4 linked regions of the Drosophila melanogaster genome follow. The protein of the gene in region 3 interacts with the protein of the main gene of each other region in a pairwise test. Each region holds a gene or a part of one and is shown on either strand. Other genes may lie near its edges. The genes, in order: CG43386, Acp53Ea, CG3740 and CG32450.

Region 1 (6,371 bases), 8.3 Mb from region 3:
GGAGTGTTGGCCAAGGCCAAGCAAAAGGTGATCCACAAAAGGCAAATCAAGAATGGAACAAAGCAGAGGAAACAGGAGAATCGGAACAACCAGGAGGAGGCGGAGCAACGACAAATTCCGGAGGAAATGAGGATTATAAAGTCCATACTTTCTGAGGTAGTACTAGAGAAATTATTCACAATTCCTTAAAAATCACATACATTAATTCAAAAGTGGTTTTTGAATATAAAAATGATTAACCTTTTAAGTTTAAGCTAAAAATGCATGTCTTTAGTATGGAACGCTTGATTTTTTTTAACGCCAGGCTCATGACTTGCGCTTCCAGGAAGATTTCCTGGAAAATATGTTGGATCAGCCGCCGCCGAGGCGAATTAAAATAGAACCCAACTCTTCGGAACTCGATGATCTGGATATAAACGTAAAGGTGAGCAAAGGACCCATGTTTAACCCTTTGTGACTAACCCAATGACCGCTAATTGATGATGACCTAACCCAACATTGACTTGGTTCACCTAACCCTTTGTCCCACGGCCTTTTGAAGTCGCCAAATGTTACAGCCAAAGGTAAACCGAAAATGAAAGCAAAGCCGGAGAAACAGGTGGAGGCGGAGGGCACAGGCTCCTCGTCGGAATTGGCCACGGATGACAACGATGACCTGGGCGATGGGGATGAGCCCGGTGATGGCGGAGACGGAGCAGGTGGTGGAGGAGGCGGTGGCGGTCTGGTTGGCATCATTAGCAGCCTGAGCGGTGTAAGTGGAAGGCTAAGAAACCCATAAATATTTATTTAAAATGGATTTATTTAGGGTGAAGGTGGTTCCGATGTGGGTGCCTTAATTGGTGCCCTTACCGGTGTGATATCCACTTTATTTGGAGTAAGTATTGAAGTTTTCCAATCAATCAAGGGTATTTAAATAGAAAAACTATCTTTTAGCCTGGAGGCCTAGATGTGCAAGGTCTGATTCAAACGGGAACCTCGCTGATCTCTGGTCTTCTGGGCGGGAATAAGAACTTTGGCCTCGTGTTGGGACAATATGTGGGCACTGCTTTGGATGGTCTCTCTGGAGGTGGTGGAGCGGTGGGTTCCTCAAACCTATTTTCATGAATTTCCAGTCATTTTACTTGCATATATTATTTTTTCCAGATTAACAATGGCCAGTTTATAGGCAACTTCTTGGGCACTGTGCTGGCCGCATTGAGCGCTGTATTTATATATTTTGCTTATATATATATTTACCTTCTAGATCCCAACCTCATAACTGTGTTACTAACCCCTGAACGTCATTTATTTAGCGAGTGCAATAAACAACATTCTACAATCTTTAACAGGATCCCGAGGAGGAGGGCCCACCGCAACCATTGACCTTCACCAAGAACCTGATCACCAGCTTCCTGGAGGCAAAGTTTCGACCAATTTCAGAGGACGGCTCAGAGGAGCGACACGGAAGTGCGGAGTTGCCACGCCCGCGAAAGAAGAAGGAGGGCGGTGGATGGGCAGCTGCGGCGGCAAATAACTTTGATTCTGGAGGATTTGTGAAGCAAGTGGCCTCCCATCTGGTGAGCAATGCCCTTGGATTGATTTTGAATGCCGGTCTGGGAGCCGCTGGAGGAGCTTCGAGTGCAGCCAAGAATATTTTCGCCAGCAGCAGCATGGGTCATCATGCCAAGCCGGCAGATCACCATAGATCTTGGAACCCCTACCATAATGAGCCATTCTAGCCAGCTTAGTCATCACATAATCATAGTTACGTTAATCGTTTGTGTTAAACCCATTTTTTTTTTGCTAGTTCGTAACCGAAATAAATAAAGAAGTGAGGAGAAAGACTTGTTGGTCACTTGGGCAGCTAAGAAAGCGTAAAAGAGGGGCTCTAAATCAAGTGGCGTAACAGCTTGGACAGCGGCTGATGCAAGAGATCCGATGGAATTCAGTGGGAGCCACTGCAATGAACCACTCCCCCAAGGATGCGGTGGGGCAAATCACTGGATGGAAACGCAAAAAGCGAAAGCTCGCAATGAGCGGAAGTAAAAACTAAGTAAAGGTTGAGGGGTGAAATAGCTTGTTTGGGTTCATTTCCTCAAACTAAAGTTCAGTGGAAGGTAGAACAGGGGAATGAACTACGGATTTCGGCTCAGGAGTTTCGCTTCAAAAATTAGTTTTAAATACATTTGGCAATACCTTAATTAACTAATATTTAAATTAAAAAGATAGAATTAATATATATTTTGTAACCCAATAGCCTAATAGCGAATATTTTTGGATCTTCTTGACCCAAGAGTTTTCCCTGAACCTTTCTCCGTGGGCCAACTACTTGGTAGCTTGCCCAATGGAGCGGGCATTGTGTCACTTTCTACTGATTACAGGTTTCATTAAAATGCTTTTACTTGTTTACTTCTGGTGCTTTCTCTGACTCTCTCGCTCTCTCTCTTCCGCCTGCTCTCTCTCTCTCTCTCTCATTCTGTCTTTCTCTTTTTTTTTTTTGAAGTGGGCTGAATATTTTTTTAGCGGCGAGTTTCAGTTTTCAGTTATGCGTGAATCTTTCACAAGACAAAGTGACATTTTGCGGGCCGTTTAGTTGTCGCGTTTTTAATTTGAAAAACTTCAGGTTGTGTTTATTGTTTTGTGTTTTTCTTGTGCGCTCAGTGTTTGTGCTGGTTTATTTGCATTTTGAAATTGTTTATGAACTCAATTATATATTTGGGTGCTTCGGAGAGTTCGCATTGCAATTAAGTTTGGCAAGCCGCATTTTTATTTTATTATATTTCGGGTGAGTATGTATATAAGGCGGCTGAAAGCCGAAAAAAAGGGAAATAAGCGACAATCCCAGCTCAAAATGTATGTCAAAACGAAAGACTTAGGCAACGAACTTGCTAACTGGGCTAAGCCTCAACTGAAAATGCTGGCATAGGTCAGGTCTGTTCCAAAAACAAACAACACTACGGGGGGCTATTAATGGAGGGGGTTATTGAAGAGGGGGGGGGCGCTATTGGTTAGCGTTCGTCCATTAATCGCTTTGGCTACCGAAATTTGGCAACAGCGCCGACGTCAACAATGCAAAAGTGAAGATTCAAATGCGTTAATTGCTTCATAAATCAATTAACAAGAGCCTAACCAATCGTAAGCCGAAAAAAGGGAGAGTTTTATTGTTCTCCTATGACTTACGCTTTGTGTTCAGTGTCATATTTGATTGTTGATTATATTAAGCTATATGGATGGTGTCCAACATTTACTGGTTGACGTGCTACTTAAAATGCTATATAAATTACAAATTTTACATACATTTTAAAAAGGTTTTTTGTTTTTATAGGGAAGTGATTTGAGGGAACTTTCCTTTTTACTCTATTTCATTCGCATTTCATTTGAATTTTCGGGGTTAACTACCTGGTAACCTACTACTCATATTCGGCCTGACCCCTGGTCGCTGTCATGATTGAGGATGAACCAGAGTCAGAGCTAAAAAGACACTCAAAAATTAAAAAAAAAAACAAAAAAAATCACCAACTTGTCTGGGCCATGCAAGAGTGGCCTGGCCCAAAGAAACCGGTAACGGTCTCAAGGTCGTTCGTCGAATCGATGGCTCTGGCCAGATAAGCCTTAGCCCAAGATACAGCAGCCAGTTTAGCCATCAACGCGCTTTGGGCCAAAAGCTAAAAGCTATCAGCCATCAACTCTAAGGCATAAGCAATAACAAAACTCAGTGATGATAGCTGGGCCAAAATAAAAAATAAATAAATAAAATCGAAAACGAGGAAAAAAGCGAAAGTGAACGCCATGAAAGTGGAGCAGTCGAGCTGGAAATCCGCCGAAGGCAAACCGGCGGGGGGGGGGGGGTTGCGTCTCTTCATAAACAAAAAGATATATATGCAGGTGTCATATCTAAGTCGGTCAATAAGTTTATTGACCAGGCGACGCTCCAAATTGTGCGGTTGTTTCGGGAGAGTTATGCAAATCGATTGTGGCAACCCGATATCGAAAAGCGTAGAAACTTATGGCCGTTAAACAATGCACCCTTTTATATTTTTCGGGCCGATTAATATGCAAATCTCGAAATTTCTTATCCACCACTCGATATGTTGTGGCTTTATGTTTCAATTATGAGCGTTAAAGTCCGTATCGCAGATCTTGTATTATACGAATTTTCACACATTTTTTATGATGATATTTTTCCTGGGCAGTAAATTATAAGTTGATGCGGGTCTGGGCGAATGACTGTTTATGTTATTACCGGAGTGTTTTTGCCTATTATAAAATATGTTTAATACTCTTGAGTTTTATTTGCTTGGCAATTTCATAAGCCTTTGGCATTTTCGTTTAGCTTAGAAGTGATTTCCAATTTACGCCTCATTTAACAGCACTAAGTTCTGCACGGCAATTAAGCAAAGTGATCAGATTTGAAATGCCTTTCAAAATATCTAATGCCAAAATGATATTATTACGGGGCGACCTTCGCCGGCCGCCAGTGGCGAGATTTATTAATACTATAATTACAATAATGGCTGAACAAACAAATAAACGCTACATGACAGCAGAATCTGAATCTCCGGCAACCTTTGCGCAAAATCAAACGAATCATTTTTGCCTGGCCAAGAACAAAGTTCGTTTGTCCGATTCTAATACTAATTCTCAGACTGAGTTTTCAGTGAATGGTGGTCAGTTATTTAGTCTGTCGGCAACGCCTTTTCCAATTAAATTCGACCCGGCTATTGGGTACAAAGCAAAAGCACTCGATGCGAAAGATTGGCTTACAAACGGTCTTAATATAAACCGAATTAACTTTATTTTTCCATTAGAGTATTACACATGTGGTGCAAATCTTCGTGGGATTTGCTAAGTTAATTGCAACTTTTTAGAGATTGTCTACACACAACAACTAAAAGTCATTTGAACGTATCTCTTAAAACAAAAATATCAATTCTTTGGCAAGACGTTCTATTGCTTAGTGATTGGTTTTAAAGATATATGGTACCTCTTTTTTTTATATCTTGCCTATACCTGGCACATATTTATTTTGGCATATTTTAGATATTTATTAATAAGTAATCCCAGTCTTAAAAACATTTCCTTGGTCAAATGTCAAATGTACTGGCCGTAAAACACTTGCGCAAAGCCATCAGCAGTTCATTAGAGGCCCATTGCTGCGGCGGAGTTGAATACATTAGATGGAAATGGATGCGGAATCGAGTGCTGGCTTCTCCTCCATCTGGTTAACGAGCCGCACTCTCGGTCCAAATGAATTGGTTAATGGGTAATGGTTATGACCGTCTTCCCAACTTGCGGCGTGTAAACGGTTACTCGTTAAGCAAGGGGGTGCCCAATAGACCTGTTACCCGTTTCACTATATCTATTTTCCATTTTAATTTTATTATTAATTTTTTTTTCTCTGTTTTTCCTGCGTGCACTTAGCGGAGTCATTGTGGCCAGAACAGCGATGAGCAGGTGACATTAATGCCATGGCCCAAAACTGAGCAAAACCACACAAAAAAAAAAGAAAGAAAAAATAGCAGCCAGCGCATAATGCATAATGACAACCGTTGCATAACCCCCCCGCCAGTTGGGCAATGCCAAATTATGCCCCGACATGTTGGCGAAGGGTATTATGCTATATGCTATATGGCGTATGCTATATAGCCATTTCCAGAGAACAAGTTGCCACTGGTTAGTACGGATTTAATGCGTCTGCCCCACTATTTCGGCCCCTGACATTTTCGACGCGACAACTAAAGTTTAGAAACACAAAAAAAAAAAAAAAAAAACACAACACAAACTGACAATTGTAACCAAAAGGCGAAACTGGAAATGCAATGAAGATCTGGTTGTAGTGAATAAAGTCACTAGGGTTCAGGGGGCAAGGATTTGGGGCGCTTTTGGGGTCTTGGCCAGGCCAAAACGGCATGTTTTCTGCCAGATTGCTTTGAATAAAAACCAAGACACATAGCGCCTGTCTTTTTGCTAACATTTTTTTTTCTGGTTTTCTGTTGTCGGTTTTCTGTCATAAACATTATGACACGCGCTGCAACGCTGATGGACAGTTTGACAGATTGACTCACTGACAAACTGACGAAGTGGCGGGGCTGGCCAGCAATTATAGCGTTCTAATTGAGGCGCCTCAACGGCAACAAGCTGCAATTGAATTTTCATGGATAATTTGCTAATTGAGCTGCCAAATTAGGCAGAACAACTGGCCGGATCTTTTGACATGCAGATCTCTAGTGATTGTTATTTAATTGAAAACATGAAAGCCACACAAAAGCTTTAGGTAAATGAAGTATTTTAAATATAATTATACTTCTTTAAATATACATATATACATAATACAATGCACTTATTGTAGGCTTCCGAAACGAATCTTTTTGGTACAATCATTTAATTTCAGC
Region 2 (4,206 bases), on a different chromosome or scaffold from region 3:
TAAAACCCTATATATTTGCTGTTTATACACAAATTTTCATGTACTTGTATTGTTTAACTTAAAAAGAGCAGGTAAACGCCAGAGAAAATTATGATACCAAAAATATGTGTGTGTGTGTTAAAGAAAGACCGTACAGTATATAGGATATAGGAGACGTGAGGTATAAGCTCAGCAGAATTGCGAAATCTCTATAAAGGTAACGATTATTGTTAGATCTATATATATATACAAGCAAAACAGAACTATATGCGAATGAAACTATTTTACACACCAGAGTTACGAACCATGAAATCGGCGCTGCTATAACTCAGCTGCCCCACATTGTCAACTGTTGACGGCTTTTAAGGCTTCTCCCCCCACAGACTCCCCACAAAAATACCAAACAGTTTCGCTTCTAAAATGCTCCCTCTCGGAACCACCTGCTAAAGCTTCAAGCAACACGTTACGGAACAAACCAATTGTAGTTTTGATAAGAGTCTTAAACTAGTACGCAATGGCCACCTGTATATTTCCCAACTGAAAATGAAACCGACATTTTGCTTTGCTTGCGAAAAGAACTTTGAATTTAATTTGCGTTTCGCCATCGGTTGATGCACGAGCTTAGGTCAGGTTAATGGATCAATTGGAGCTTCACTTGTGCCCGGATCACAAGCCTCGAAGCTCCCAAAGTTGTTGAAGGGATCGCTTTCGTTTGTGTCGCAAAAATGGACACGGAACGTTAAGCGATCGTTGCTGGATCGAGGAATACGTATTCTTTTAGAAATCGTTTCGGAACTGAGTCGGCGTTTTGGGTTTTGAGTTAATTGTAGCAAAATGTAAACATTTGTTAAACTATTGAATTAATTTCCAATTGTAACATATTAGAGAATTGTAATTACAATAATCATTTTACAAGCATATTATATGATATCTATGTATGTAATAACCTATTTTGGCCCAGTTTGAATTTACCAACAAAAGAATTGCACACACCAAAAATATAGAGCTATATATTAGCGAAGCGAGTTAACGAGCAAGAAACTCAACTTATATATGCGTATATGGTACAATACATTTCAAAATCGATTTAAATATGTACATCGGCTATATATCAATGTATGTAAGAGATGATTGCCTGGCAACCGTTTCCAATGACAGATGAAAATTAGAAGAGCAGAACCAACGCGTGGAAAATGAGGGAAAACCTATGCTATGTGTATGTATAATCCAAAACAAATTGATATTTGCCAGGGCGTATCACTATTAAAGAAATATAAAATAAAACGGCTTTAAATAAAATCTGTAAACTATCGGGTTGCTTTATATTGATTAGGCTATACGAAGAAAGGTAAGGTAAGATAGAGCTGATTACTGAAAATGTGGCTTATATTGACTCGATATCTATGATTTGTGAAGCGGACTGAAACATTAATTTGATATTTTACAGCATTTTTATGTCGCAAATGAGCGTAGTTAAACCATTTACATTCTGCAACTCAGAAACACTATAAGTGGCGTTTAGTTTACGTCTGGAACCTCTGTGTTCACTGAAGTCTTTCGGCCATGAAGTCCAAACAAGTCTTTTACATCGCCTTCAGCTTGCTTGTGAGTTTTAATATTTGCTCAAAACTTTTTACTGACTACGATTTTTAAATTGTAAAGCTGCTGGGATCCTTGCTGCCAAACGAAGTGGAGTCCTTAAGAGTAGATCTTAATAAGCTGGCGGAGTGCACAGAATCGGGATTGAAAGTAGCCACAACGTTGCTCGTGAGGGCGATACCATGTGTAAAAAAATTGGCAAAATGTGCTGACTTTCGAGCCATTAAGACTAAGGACCTTGATATTACCGCACTTGCCCTCTTGGGCTATCAATATCTGCAAACGGTCGTGAACAACCAAAGATGTCTATTGATCTCATTGAAAGAAGGCTACGACGCTGTGTCGCCACACCTTGACAAACTTATTAGTGGCAAGTGCCTACCAGGGCTCAGCTAAAGCAATATATACATATGCAAACACTTTATTTGGTTTTTAAATTCTTAATTTAGCCTTAGATATAGACATATTTTCAGTATTTAAATGAGTTGCTTGAATCACAGGAATACAATGAATTTGGCGAGATTATATGATTATATTCGGCAATAAAATCTAGATAATTATAGTTGTTATTAAAAGGACAGCGAAATAGAAAGCACAAGCTTAAAAATTCTTTTTGCGGGTCTGGAATTAATTACGAATTCAATTTGAATTCAGTTTCAACTATATGCCTTCTTTTTGTAACCTTTTGTATAATGTTATTATATAAAATGTTAATGAACATGCGAAAACGATTAACAATAGCAACAAAATCCATAAACTGCTCACACACTTTGAAGTGTAAAATCTGTTTTTAAAGCTTCTAATAGACCGTGCTGATTCGATTATCCTGGGGCCTATAAATAGGGCATAAAACACAGGGGCTCCGAAAGTTTGATCTTCAGCCGTTTAGTCGAAAGCACACAGATAAGGCTTCCAATGAAACTGATAAAGGTTACACTAGTGTTCAGCTTACTGGCTGTAAGTACATTATTTAAATATGATCTTTTTAGGCACAATAACAATAGATAAACTTCACTTAACAGCTCGTATTTGTGGCCCAAACGGAGGCGCAAAATCCAATATGGGAGAATTGGTTGGCATGCAATAGAATTGGTACTAAAGCGCTTGCCAGTCTGCTGAGAGAAACAATCCCAACTGTTCGCAATTTACTGAACTGCATTGACTTCAATCCACCAACCGATATTGGAAATAGTTACCTTTCAAAACTTAAGTTGTACTATGAGCTTGTTAAGCGAGGTGCGCTTGACAAGACTCAGTGTCTGATTGTGCCACTCAAGGAATCAGTGAGACTACTGAGGCCTTATGTAAAATCGCTTGAGACCAACAAATGCTTGGGTGAATAAATCACTATTTTGGCCATAATAAAATAAATTTCTGAGCATTAATAAAGCACAGCAATCAAAAATGTATATTTTTTAAAGGAGGGTAATGCCTAATAGACCTTCCAAATTAATCATGATATAAGTTAAGTGCGGTTTTTTTCTCAAATTTTTTATTTATATTATGATATTACCGAAACCCAAAAACACATTTTGGTTTGGATTCAATCGGCTGAAATACTTTATATGCGAGACAAATTATTCTGTTGTATTGCATTTGAAAATTGAATTGACATGTATTAGGCGCAAAATTTATTATGGTTTTTAACTGTAACCAATTTTTTTAGCACTGCTTAGGTGGATGAAATTAAAATTAGCTTGTAATCCTATAAATAGGACAGCCCTTTCATAAATATTCTAAGTTTTTTCTGGTCATAATCGCGACTTAAAACAGGAGAATGAGCGTGATCAAGTCCATATTTCTGCTCAGTATTTTGGCTGTGAGTACATTTGGCTCACTTAATTACTTTTTAAATATACTTACCATTCTCCATAGGTCTGCCTCATTCCCCGGGAGACGGAGGCCCAGGCCACTATAAGTGAAAGCTGGGGAAGGCTGGGCAAGTGTACTCAGGTGGCCATCGAAACACTGACCAGCCTGGCCGATAAAATCGTCCCGACCGTATATGAGTTGAAACAATGCTCCGGATACGTAACTTTGGAACCGGCAAACGGCAAAGACAGAAAGATTACCTGGTACCTAAAGGTATCCTATGAATTCTTCAAGAAACTTGTCTTTGACGAACCCAAATGTCTGCACGGTCTACTGAACAAGTTGGCTGCCACAATCAAACCATTTGCCGAGCAGATATCGGGATTAGGTTGCTTGGACGAAGAAGATTATATCATTTAAAAAGAAAAGTGTGCACATTACATAAATAAATCGAGAGCAATATGGGGTCTCAAATGTCAGCAACAAAAATGTATTTCTTATTAAGTATAATTTTACAATATAACTACTGCATTTGGAAGTTAAGTTGAAGTTAAAGTTGGCTAAACACATTCAAGTTATGTGATTAAATTTTATTTTATATGATTAATTCAACAGAAGCTTGATAATAATGGAGAAGTCGCGGCCACGGTCTGGAAATTAGTAAGATTAGATTCGGATTACAATCATATTTTCGGTATAACAATTGAAAGGCGGTACATTGGGTATCAGTGATGCTCGACAGCATTACTAAAGCGATTATCCTGAGGCCTATATATATAGGGCAATATTTCCACATGGCCCACAAAGTTGGATCAA
Region 3 (4,883 bases):
CAGGAGCTGCAGCGTGAAATGGCCGAGACTACGGAGCAAACCGATCGCGTCACCGCCGAGTTGCAGCAATTGCGCCAGCACAGCCTCACCGTTGAGTCTCAGGATACTTGCGAAATTTGCGAGATGATGCTGCTGGTTAAGCCCTTTTTCATCTTCATCTGCGGCCACAAGTTCCACAGCGATTGCCTGGAGAAGCACGTTGTGCCCTTGCTCACCAAGGAGCAATGTCGGCGCCTCGGCACTCTAAAGCAGCAACTGGAGGCGGAGGTGCAAACGCAGGCGCAACCGCAGTCAGGTGCCCTGAGCAAACAGCAGGCGATGGAGCTGCAGCGGAAGAGGGCGGCACTGAAAACCGAGATCGAGGATATTCTTGCTGCGGATTGCCTATTCTGCGGGCTGCTAATCAGCACCATCGACCAGCCGTTCGTTGACGACTGGGAGCAGGTGAATGTCGAGTGGGAGTAGTTCGCTACCACCGTCGTTCAGACCCAAATATTTATGTACATATAAAGTATTTATTATTATAAATAAACCTACACTGATCACAAAGGTTTCGACTGAGATAGCCGTCCAAATTCTACAGTTACCTGGCCATCGCCCACTTGCCCGCAGAGCAGGTCAGTCCACAATCTGCATGCGCAACTCGTTGGTCACGAATGACATGACAGTGTTAAGCACAGCCTGCTGAATGGAGGCGTTCTGGACAATCAGCGGCAGCAGCATCACCACGTCGGTGGGATGTATGTCGGCCACGGCCATGGTTACGTGCTGCACCAGCTGCTCTCGCTGTGCGTCCGTCAGGTCGTTTAGGATGACTTCGCCCAGCGGACGGAATGTGCCTGTTCGGGAGGAGGGAAGTGGAAATGTAGTGAGACTGAGTACGGGAGTTCTCCTCCGCTTACCGCTTGTCATCTTGTAGGCGGCGATTCCGCCGGCGGCCCCGCCAACCGCCAGCCCAACGGGGCCCAGGAGCATGCCACCCGCAAAGGAGCAGGCGGCGCAGATTGCCGCTCCCTTGCCGGACTGCTTGACGGCGACGCGGACGTTGCGCTCGTCCGCTACGATGGCTATCGCCTCCATCAACTCGCGCGTATCTATGGGCATATTTAGGCTACGTGGAGTTGGCCCGAATTTCGCAACGCTATGCTAGTATTTCCTGTTTAGACTTTGTTCCGTGCGGCAGTATGACGTTTCCGATTACGCCACCCGTTCCGTTTGTATCCTGCCTTTTAGTGTTGGTCTTGAATTCTCCAACTTGCTACTCGACAACATAAACAATTTCACGGAATCCGCTTGAAGGGAACTATTAAAAAGCTTATATTTGACTTAAAAAACAGCAACTTGATTAAACTTGTGAGCGCCAGATTCAGAGATGCGCAAACGGCGGTCACAATCGACGTTTATATCGATATATGGCCTTAACCCTTATGTGTTAACCCATTCCTGTTATGGGTCATACATTAAATTTCTTATATTAATCCTATAGGTTATTACTGTCCTGTTGCTAAGTTAAAGATGAACAATAAATTAAATATATATGTGTTTATTATATAAATTGATTCAACGGATTACGTTTGCCAACTATCGAATCGCAGTGCAAACGATGTCACTGTATCGATAAGTCGATTGCCCGCGGCGAACAGAGCATTTAACATCAGACTTAACAGCGAGTGCTCTGCTGCGCTGCGCGCACTTAACATTTGCATTTTGTTTTGTTCGTAGTTTATCAATTCGAGTCGAGATACTTTTGTGTTTCACCTACGTATCACACCCGACCGATTCTTCCCATGCACGGATCTGTGGCAGATCACCTGGCGGACCGAACGAGCCTGCAGAACCGCCCAGAAAGTAGCTCCTCTCCGCTGGGACTGGGATGTGCGCAAAGCATTTAAATTGTGAACACTTCCGTATGATTGCGATTCCTCGGATGTGGATGACCGCTCCGTTCCCGCGCCACCTAGTCGAGGAGTAAACCTGCCAGGGAGCACCTAGTGGAATTCATTTCGGAGGCGACATGCTCGCGTACACCCACGTAAGTCCAATGCGCATGCAGCTCTGCTAGTGTATGGGTGTACCTGTAGCAGGAGGGGTAGGGGTATGGACATGGGCATGCCGATACTGATATTGTGTTTATAATCTCGAAAGCACTCTAAATTGCTCCGAGGGAGGGGTGCTGCTAGTGAGGTTATACTACCCATGGCTCTATATTTTATACCACACCCAGTTATTATACTCATACAGCATAGGTATTTCTCATATTGTAGTTGTGAAAAGAAGCGCATTTGCCTTGAAATCAGAGGCCATCTTTAGTTAATCCTCGTATCCTCACACGCTATGGAACATTTAAGCCAAAAAGGAAATGTTTTCCATACCAAACCTATTATTGGCCTATGGTAATACCAAACTGTTATGCTGTTTTGACCAGCCAAAGATCTGGAAATAGCCCCCTTCCACTTCCACTCCATGCCGAAGCCGACAATTTGCCACCAACCGACACCGACCCGCCCACAATTGCTGCCTAACACAATTAATCTTTTTATTGCCCTTTTATCACATACGATTCGTTAATTAATTGCCGAATTAGCATGGCAGTGTTGTTGGCAGTTGGCCCGCAAGACGCTAAATCGAGTGGGCAAACAATTAGAAACCAGTTGGATACCGAAGACCCTCCCGACTCCCAGAGCCGCAGGCCCAGCAACTTATGCGTACAGGGTGTGCCTCACTTACCCTAATTACGGCAATTGGAGGACGAGCCAGGCCAAGCCCTCGTCGGTCTAATTCGATTTGCAAACAAACGCGTCTGGTGTAGCAAATATTTGCATATGTATGTCCAACGTGCGACACGGCGTTTTTCCCATTTCCCCACTCGATTCGCTTTAACGCGCCCTTTGATTGTCGTTGTCGTTGCAGGGCACATGGCTCCTGCTCCTGCTGCTCCTTGTAGCAGGCGCATGCGCGCGGCCAGAAATAGCACACACACCGGATCCGGCTGCACTAGGCGAGGAGTCTACTCCACATGCACACGCACATCCACAGGCTCGCCATCATCACCATGCCCATCCCCATGCGCCGCTGAAGGAAGATGAGCAGGGAACAGCAATACCTGCTCCCATCCTAACAACTGATAACGTGGGCATTGGGGAAACCACGACGGCATCAAGTTTGGCCGAGACGCAAAGCATGTCCGATCCGGGATCTGTGACAGACACAACATCCACAAGCACATCGCACTCCACCTCGACCACGTCGACCACTTCGCCCGCACCCCTTCCGCCGGCTGCTCCCGAACAGCCCGAGTATCTGAAGCACTGCTTCTATGCAGAAGAGCAGCTGTGTGGCCACACCTTTGACGGACGAGCCGAAACCTCCGAGGGCCAGGGCTCGACAGTCGCGCAGTCGGAAGCCCAGAACCGAGGAGGACAGGGGAACAGCCAGTGCCAGTGCAGGGAGCACCCGACGCGGCCAAACTCCTGGTACTGCTGCAACATATCGCAGCTGACGATGATCTCAAGCTGCAGCAACATATCCAAGTGGACCAACCTGCACGTGCGCAACATGACTGTGGAGGACATGGACCTCTCCAATCCAATATTCCGATCCCTGCAGTCGCTTGCCGTGACGGACGGCAATATCACTCGACTGGTGAACGCCTTTCCGCGGCTCTCGGCTCTTAAGTGCCTAAACATATCAAACAACAACATCTCGGAGATCCACTCGAGGGCGGTGAAGGACGTGCCCCATCTGGAGTTCTTCGGCATGTCGAACAACAATCTCTCGCTGGTGCCTCACCGAAACCAGAACAAGAACATTACGCTGGATATCAGGTGAGTAAGGCCATATGTTTAGAAAAGGAAGAGGCCTAACCAAACGATTCTTTTCAGTGGCAACATGCGCATGCTGTGCACTCCGCTAAACGAGATAATATACACCGAATCTATTAATTTCCTGAACCCGAAGCACTCCTACTGTCAGTATAACGCCACACACACCTGGTTTCAGTCCACGGACAAGGTGTCCGTGGAGCAGCTGGAGAACAGAAAGCGGTGTGTGACTAATTGTCCGGTTATTCCGAACTACGGCAGCTGCAATTGTACGCTGGAGAATATTATGATCATACAGGACAACCAGTCGAAGCCCCAGTGCCACGTAGACTGTTCCAATCTTGGCCTGGTGGAGCTACCCCAAAGACTGCCGGACAACACATTTATGCTCAATATCACAAACAACAAGATAACCAGCCTGGGCGATTACTTCCATACCAATCCCACCTACCACAATATTAACCGTCTCTTGGCCGATAACAACCAGATATCCTCCATCTATGAGTTCGAGGGTACCAAGTTCATCGAAACCTTTCAGCGCATCTACATGCGAAACAATTCGCTGAGCAAGGTGAGTGCTCTGACCTACTAATGTACCAATCCCTAAAACAAACTGTATCTTTCTACAACGATATAGATTCCGGAGTACTTTCTCAACAATGCCCTGATGGACTCTGGCCTGGGCCGTCGTATTTACCTGGCAGGCAACAAGCTGCAGTGCGACTGCAACTCGGCAAAGACGCTGCAAAATTGGCTTAAGGAGCGTAGCTCCGATATACCCGACTATATGGAGATACGCTGTCGCAACATGCCCCAGAGAGTCATCGAACTGCAGGAGGCCAAACTATGCCAGTCCCCACCAGACTGGACCGATTACATATACTATTTAATAGCCGCCGAGGTCCTGCTGCTGCTCGCCCTTATTACCAAGGTGTCCTACGACTATTGGGTCTTCAAGACGGCTGGCTATCTGCCCTGGCCGGCCAGTAAAATGCCCAAGTTGCCATGCGATTGGCTGTGCGAATCGTAGAGCCAGAGTGGAGAGTAAGATGGCCAGTTGGT
Region 4 (4,789 bases), on a different chromosome or scaffold from region 3:
GCAAAACTGCAGGAAACTAAAGCAATTCCAAATGGAAAACTGCTGCAAATTAATCAAATGCCTTTGCAGTACGGAATGGAAAGAGCGAGAGGAAAACGGTCAAAGGACAGGACTGGCAAGCAAACACGAGAACGTCAGTCAGTCAGTCAGCCAGTCACAAAGACACAGGCGAGCGATAAAAGCCAAAGCCAAAGGCAAGCAACCCTTTTTCCGAATCGAAACCAAACCAACCCAGCCCAACCCTTCAATCTGCACACACACTAGGGTTGTATATACTTATATATCGTAACGCATTAAATCGATAACACGATTTTTCAGCACGCACACAGCTCCCCGTCGAACCCGTACTGAAATCCAAAACAACTGGTTGACTGTGAGTTAAATTGTCAGTTTCATTACGTGGCAGCTTTCATAGCGTCTTTTGCTGTCTGCTTCCTGCCCCGGAACTCCGGAATGTTCCTTGCTTTTTTAAAGCCAAATCACTACGACTGCGCGTGAGCGTTCCCCGTCACTTCGCTTGCAGTGCGACAAGCGATTTTTCAAGTTGCCGCTTCATCGTTCTGCGGAGCTGCTTCTCCGTCTTTTTTGTTCGGTGCGGTTTCGGGGCTCTGCGTTCTGGGCGCCAACAAGTTCAATTTTCGGAAAAGGGCAGGAGCGCATCGAGAGCGGAGAAGCGAAGCCCCTGGGACTCCTCGAAACCGGCGAGTCGTGCGTTCTTGAGAACTTAAGGACCTCGACGCTGGTGAGTTCAACAAACATTTAACTGATTGCCTGGCGTGTCTTCGTGCCCAGCCCTGTCTGATTTTTTGATTTGCTATACACCTGGGAGCGGGACGGCCCTTGGCCACGAAAATGTTTAGCTTATTTGTTAGCGCTGCAAAATAAATTGTGTGTGCGTGCGGTAATTGTAAATTGCGTACGGGCAGACAGACAGTGGCGATTGTCAGTGGAGCAGCCGAGTTATTGGCACCTCTCCAACGTACGGGTATGCCATGAATTTTTGATCGAACAATGAGTGGATCGAGGGTTGCCACCTTTTGCCAATACGATGAGGTTGGCGAAGGCAGCAACAAACTAGGCTTTTGATTGCAAGTCCCCATCCCCATCCAATCCAATCTCGTTCCGTACGCCCCCAGCTAAGCCAATTCAATCAGGGGACCTGCCTGCAACCCTCTGAGTAATCCACTTTTGGCCTCCCGAAAGTGCGCAACAATTTCTTTTAAACTTCCTGCTGACACAAATCAGACCGAGGCCATAACTCAAACTATCTCCACCTCCGCTCGGCTGAATCAATAACCATAAACCGAAGCTCCTTATGCTCACGTGGAGGAGCCGCATAAAAAGTATGCCACATGCTCGGGGAAATCACTAAATTCAGCCTGAGGCAACGTGTACCTCATCATTTATGTGTGGCAGGGGCAAGAAACGGCGAGCCCGAAAACCAAGCAATGCCCACCTTCATAACTGAGAGTGCTTATCACGCCCACTTCCCCTTGATCCCCTCCTGCCGATACCGCCAACTACCGAGTACCGACTACCGTCTACATGTGACATTTGCATGCTTACTTAAACAGCAAAAAGCAGCATCTACGACAGCCACGTCGAGCTTGGCACGTCTGCGTCAACTATACTTTACATTTCGGCCAGACTGGTTTCGGTTTCGGTCTTGGTCTGAACCAGATGCTCAGTTGGAGTCTAGGACCCAGAAGGCCAAAAGAAGGAGAAGGCCCACTAGTGTTGTCAGTAGGCAGTCACAATCCTGTCGACGTCACATCAGCACACGTGTGTAGTAAAAATCAGACGTGTGGGCGCTGCTCGAGGAGCACACAGGCCTTGGCAATGTCGAGGCGCTCTAGTTGCCGCAGTCGATTCGAGTCGAGTCCTGCCTAGTCCTGCCTCCATGTACTTTGATTGCTTGCACGTTACCCGTACAATTTTCGGTATGATGGCGGCAACATTTCATGATTTCTTGTACGTGTTTCTGGCAGTAAGCACGCGTCCTTTCCTCTGCCGCGCACACCGTGTCCTGCGACCCTGGTCCTTCGCCCCACATCTATTCCGGCTCATGGGTTCCGGGGTAATGTATGCAAGCACTTTTTGTATATGACGCCGTTGCGCTTTGGGTCCTCGTCGTGTTTGTTTGCCTGGTGACTGATGATGGTTTGGCTGGTTTTGCTCAGCTCCCACTTTAGCTTCATTTTCCACCGCCACTTCTGTCGCTAGTTTTTCACCAGCAGCATCGATTCGAGCGTATGTCCTGCTAATAAATCAATGACGCCATTCCGGGGCTCCCAAGTAGGCGATGATTTATGTCTGGCTAAAGGGTTTTCACGAATACCGGGCCTAATTGAGTTGCCCTTGATGGATCAGTCATTTTTAGAGTGCTGCTTGTCCAGTACCAAGTAGAAGTCGCTTTAGAACAATCTAAAATTCGACGTTGCTGTTTTTTTTGGTTTAACATTCTCTATATACATTTTTTTAAAAATATGGATATAACGGTACCGCCGCCGGACTCGCACTGGTCGTTGAGGTTTGTGGACATCGTGAAGCCTTTTCCAAAACATACTTTGGCCAATGCCACTTATAAGATCATTCGCTTCTTTTACCCACCCTTTGCCCTGGAAACCGTCGATGTCACCCACGTGGTCAGCGATCCCGAGCTGAATAGTTTAAACGTGGGGCTGTTTGTGGTAGTTCCCTTAATTCTGGCCTGCATCGGCTATGGGGTGTACAAATATGTGCGGAGTATGGTAAGTTTTGTGCGTGGACCTATAGCCCCTGACCTCTGACCAAGTCTGACCTCGAGCAGCATACAGTGGCTAAACGGACACCATTAAAATTGTACGAGCTTGAACAGCGTATGAAAGACAAGTACGGTCCGGAATACAAGCAGGGAATCTGGAAGCGAAAGGACATTTCTGACCCCCTCCTATTAACCACTGATCCATCCGAACCAAAAGCAAAGAGATGTGAAAGCAGCAATGCCCACTGGCTGCGCAAAACCGATAGATCCGATGATTAATTAAATCAACACTCAGTTGGATCCCCACTCGGATATGACTGGGGATCTTAAAATCGAGAATCGAGGAAAGTACCTTCTCGAATCCAACCAGGCTTTGTACCCTTCTAAGCAACAAAATCGATATGATCCTTCAATTCCGTTTAATGATTGAGACCTTTTTTGCGACTGGAAAAGTGTCAGCTTTGGGCTTTCTCGTTTGGCGCAATAAAATGAAGTGATTGTTTGGTTTTTTATGTTGCAAAAACACACTGAACCCCGCAGAGCGAAGGGAAAGACATTGCACATAGGATTAGGTGGGGGTTTTGGGGCCAAGTCCTGGGTAATCATTTGGCAGCGCATGTGTCGGATTATTTTGTTGGTTTGCGTTTTATTTAAATTTGCTTCTTTCGGCTGCCTTTTTGCTCGTGCGGTGGTTGTTTGTCGCCCGAAAATCTGACAGCAGCTGAAAAGCATGCTAAGCTTCGTGCTTTCTTTTTGCTCTGGCTCAAAGCAAATTAATGATTTGCCATCAAGCAAATAAATCAAAAGCTTCAAAGCAGATCTCTGGCTTAGCGCGCTGCGCTGTGGTGCGGTGCGATGGGATCCTGGGGCTGGCTGCGATTTAAGTCCCTTTCATCTCGGCCTGCTCCACTTTAAAGCCAGTCCCGAATGCATAGTTTTATTTCGCAGCTATTTCCACTCAACTAAGCGCATGCATTGATGATATATCCCCTTCCGTGTGACACCCCTTCCCATTGACATGACATAAATAACCGTGTGAGGCTGTTATAATTTATAATCCTTGCTCTGGACCCCCAGCAACAATAATACCAACAACAACAACAACAACAACAACAACAACAACAGCAACAACAACAACAACAACAGCAGCAGCAGCAACAAGAACAAACACAGCAACAGGAGCAGGAGTAACAAGAGCAGAAATAATATGGGAATGCCAGTGCAAATATTTTTGCTTGCTCCTCTCGGTTTCTATGATCCGAGTTTCCTTTTACTTTTTTGTCCTATTTTATTTATTCGAAACCTGTGCCTCTCCCAGGTTGGCAGCACAAATATTTTGTTGGTTCCCTTCCGAGCCACCCAGCCACTATTTCACACCCGCTCGGCTGCATTTAGTTTATGTGTGTGTTACCTTTTTTCTCGGTAAAATGAGGTCAAAAGTTTATTGGCTAATAAATGTGTGCGCAAGTGGGTGGGGTGTTGTTTTCGCAGGCATTAATGTCAGGCGCAAACTGCAGAGGCTGCAAAGTTTTTGGCAGAGCTTTAATGCCGATAAACAAATTGCATGCACTTAGCTACAGGCCGCCCATCCAAGGGGAGATGGGCAAGATTAGGGCAGTCGAAATGGGCTTTAAATGATCCTGCAGCACACTCGATGGCACGATGGCCACAAAAGCGAATCAGCTGCCCTACCGACGGCTAATTACAAACTAATCAGCCAACAAATAAATTTCAAATAAATTATACAAGAACGGAATTGGCTAATGCATTGCAGTTGAACGACAGCCAGAGCGAAACAAAAAACTTCAAATCTATGTTGGGCCAACCAAACCGAACGAAAGCAAACCAAACCAAGCCAAAACTGCCAAACACACCAAAATTTTAAGCTATTCAATTATGGTTCGTTCAAAAAGAACAGCAAAACTATTTTAATTATTTACATTAAGCCCCTCAACATGTTTGGCCGACACACAAGCTCTTTTCTCCAATTAAACTGGGAATAGGATCTAGCTGGCAAGGGAAACCGGCATAGAATATCTCATTCGC

Evidence for each region.
Region 1: the proteins of CG3740 (region 3) and CG43386 interact in a two-hybrid assay, tested with the Drosophila melanogaster proteins (one large-scale study listed by BioGRID).
Region 2: the proteins of CG3740 (region 3) and Acp53Ea interact in a two-hybrid assay, tested with the Drosophila melanogaster proteins (one large-scale study listed by BioGRID).
Region 4: the proteins of CG3740 (region 3) and CG32450 interact in a two-hybrid assay, tested with the Drosophila melanogaster proteins (one large-scale study listed by BioGRID).

Annotation. Positions count from the first base shown.
Region 1 is NC_004354.4:9,973,552-9,979,922, reverse strand, and holds the start of CG43386 (uncharacterized protein), read left to right. Parts: upstream 1-2,517; 5' UTR 2,518-2,764; intron 2,765-6,371. Other genes in the region: CG15252 (uncharacterized protein), read left to right, coding at 1-156, 305-424, 542-751, 806-874, 934-1,077, 1,144-1,203, 1,329-1,718.
Region 2 is NT_033778.4:16,748,571-16,752,776, reverse strand, and holds Acp53Ea (accessory gland protein 53Ea), read left to right. Parts: upstream 1-2,441; 5' UTR 2,442-2,493; coding exon 2,494-2,535; intron 2,536-2,600; coding exon 2,601-2,921; 3' UTR 2,922-2,974; downstream 2,975-4,206. Other genes in the region: Acp53C14c (accessory gland protein 53C14c), read left to right, coding at 1,543-1,584, 1,642-1,974; Acp53C14b (accessory gland protein 53C14b), read left to right, coding at 3,356-3,397, 3,454-3,810. UniProt on the Drosophila melanogaster protein: Responsible for physiological and behavioral changes in mated female flies.
Region 3 is NC_004354.4:1,667,906-1,672,788, forward strand, and holds CG3740 (uncharacterized protein), read right to left. Parts: upstream 1,393-4,883; 5' UTR 1,105-1,392; coding exon 903-1,104; intron 884-902; exon of another isoform or gene 840-883; coding exon 619-839; 3' UTR 501-618; downstream 1-500. Other genes in the region: dor (deep orange), read left to right, coding at 1-465; hfw (halfway), read left to right, coding at 2,015-2,032, 2,911-3,824, 3,882-4,392, 4,459-4,851.
Region 4 is NT_037436.4:22,327,408-22,332,196, forward strand, and holds CG32450 (uncharacterized protein), read left to right. Parts: upstream 1-2,370; 5' UTR 2,371-2,486; coding exon 2,487-2,750; intron 2,751-2,809; coding exon 2,810-3,022; 3' UTR 3,023-3,250; downstream 3,251-4,789.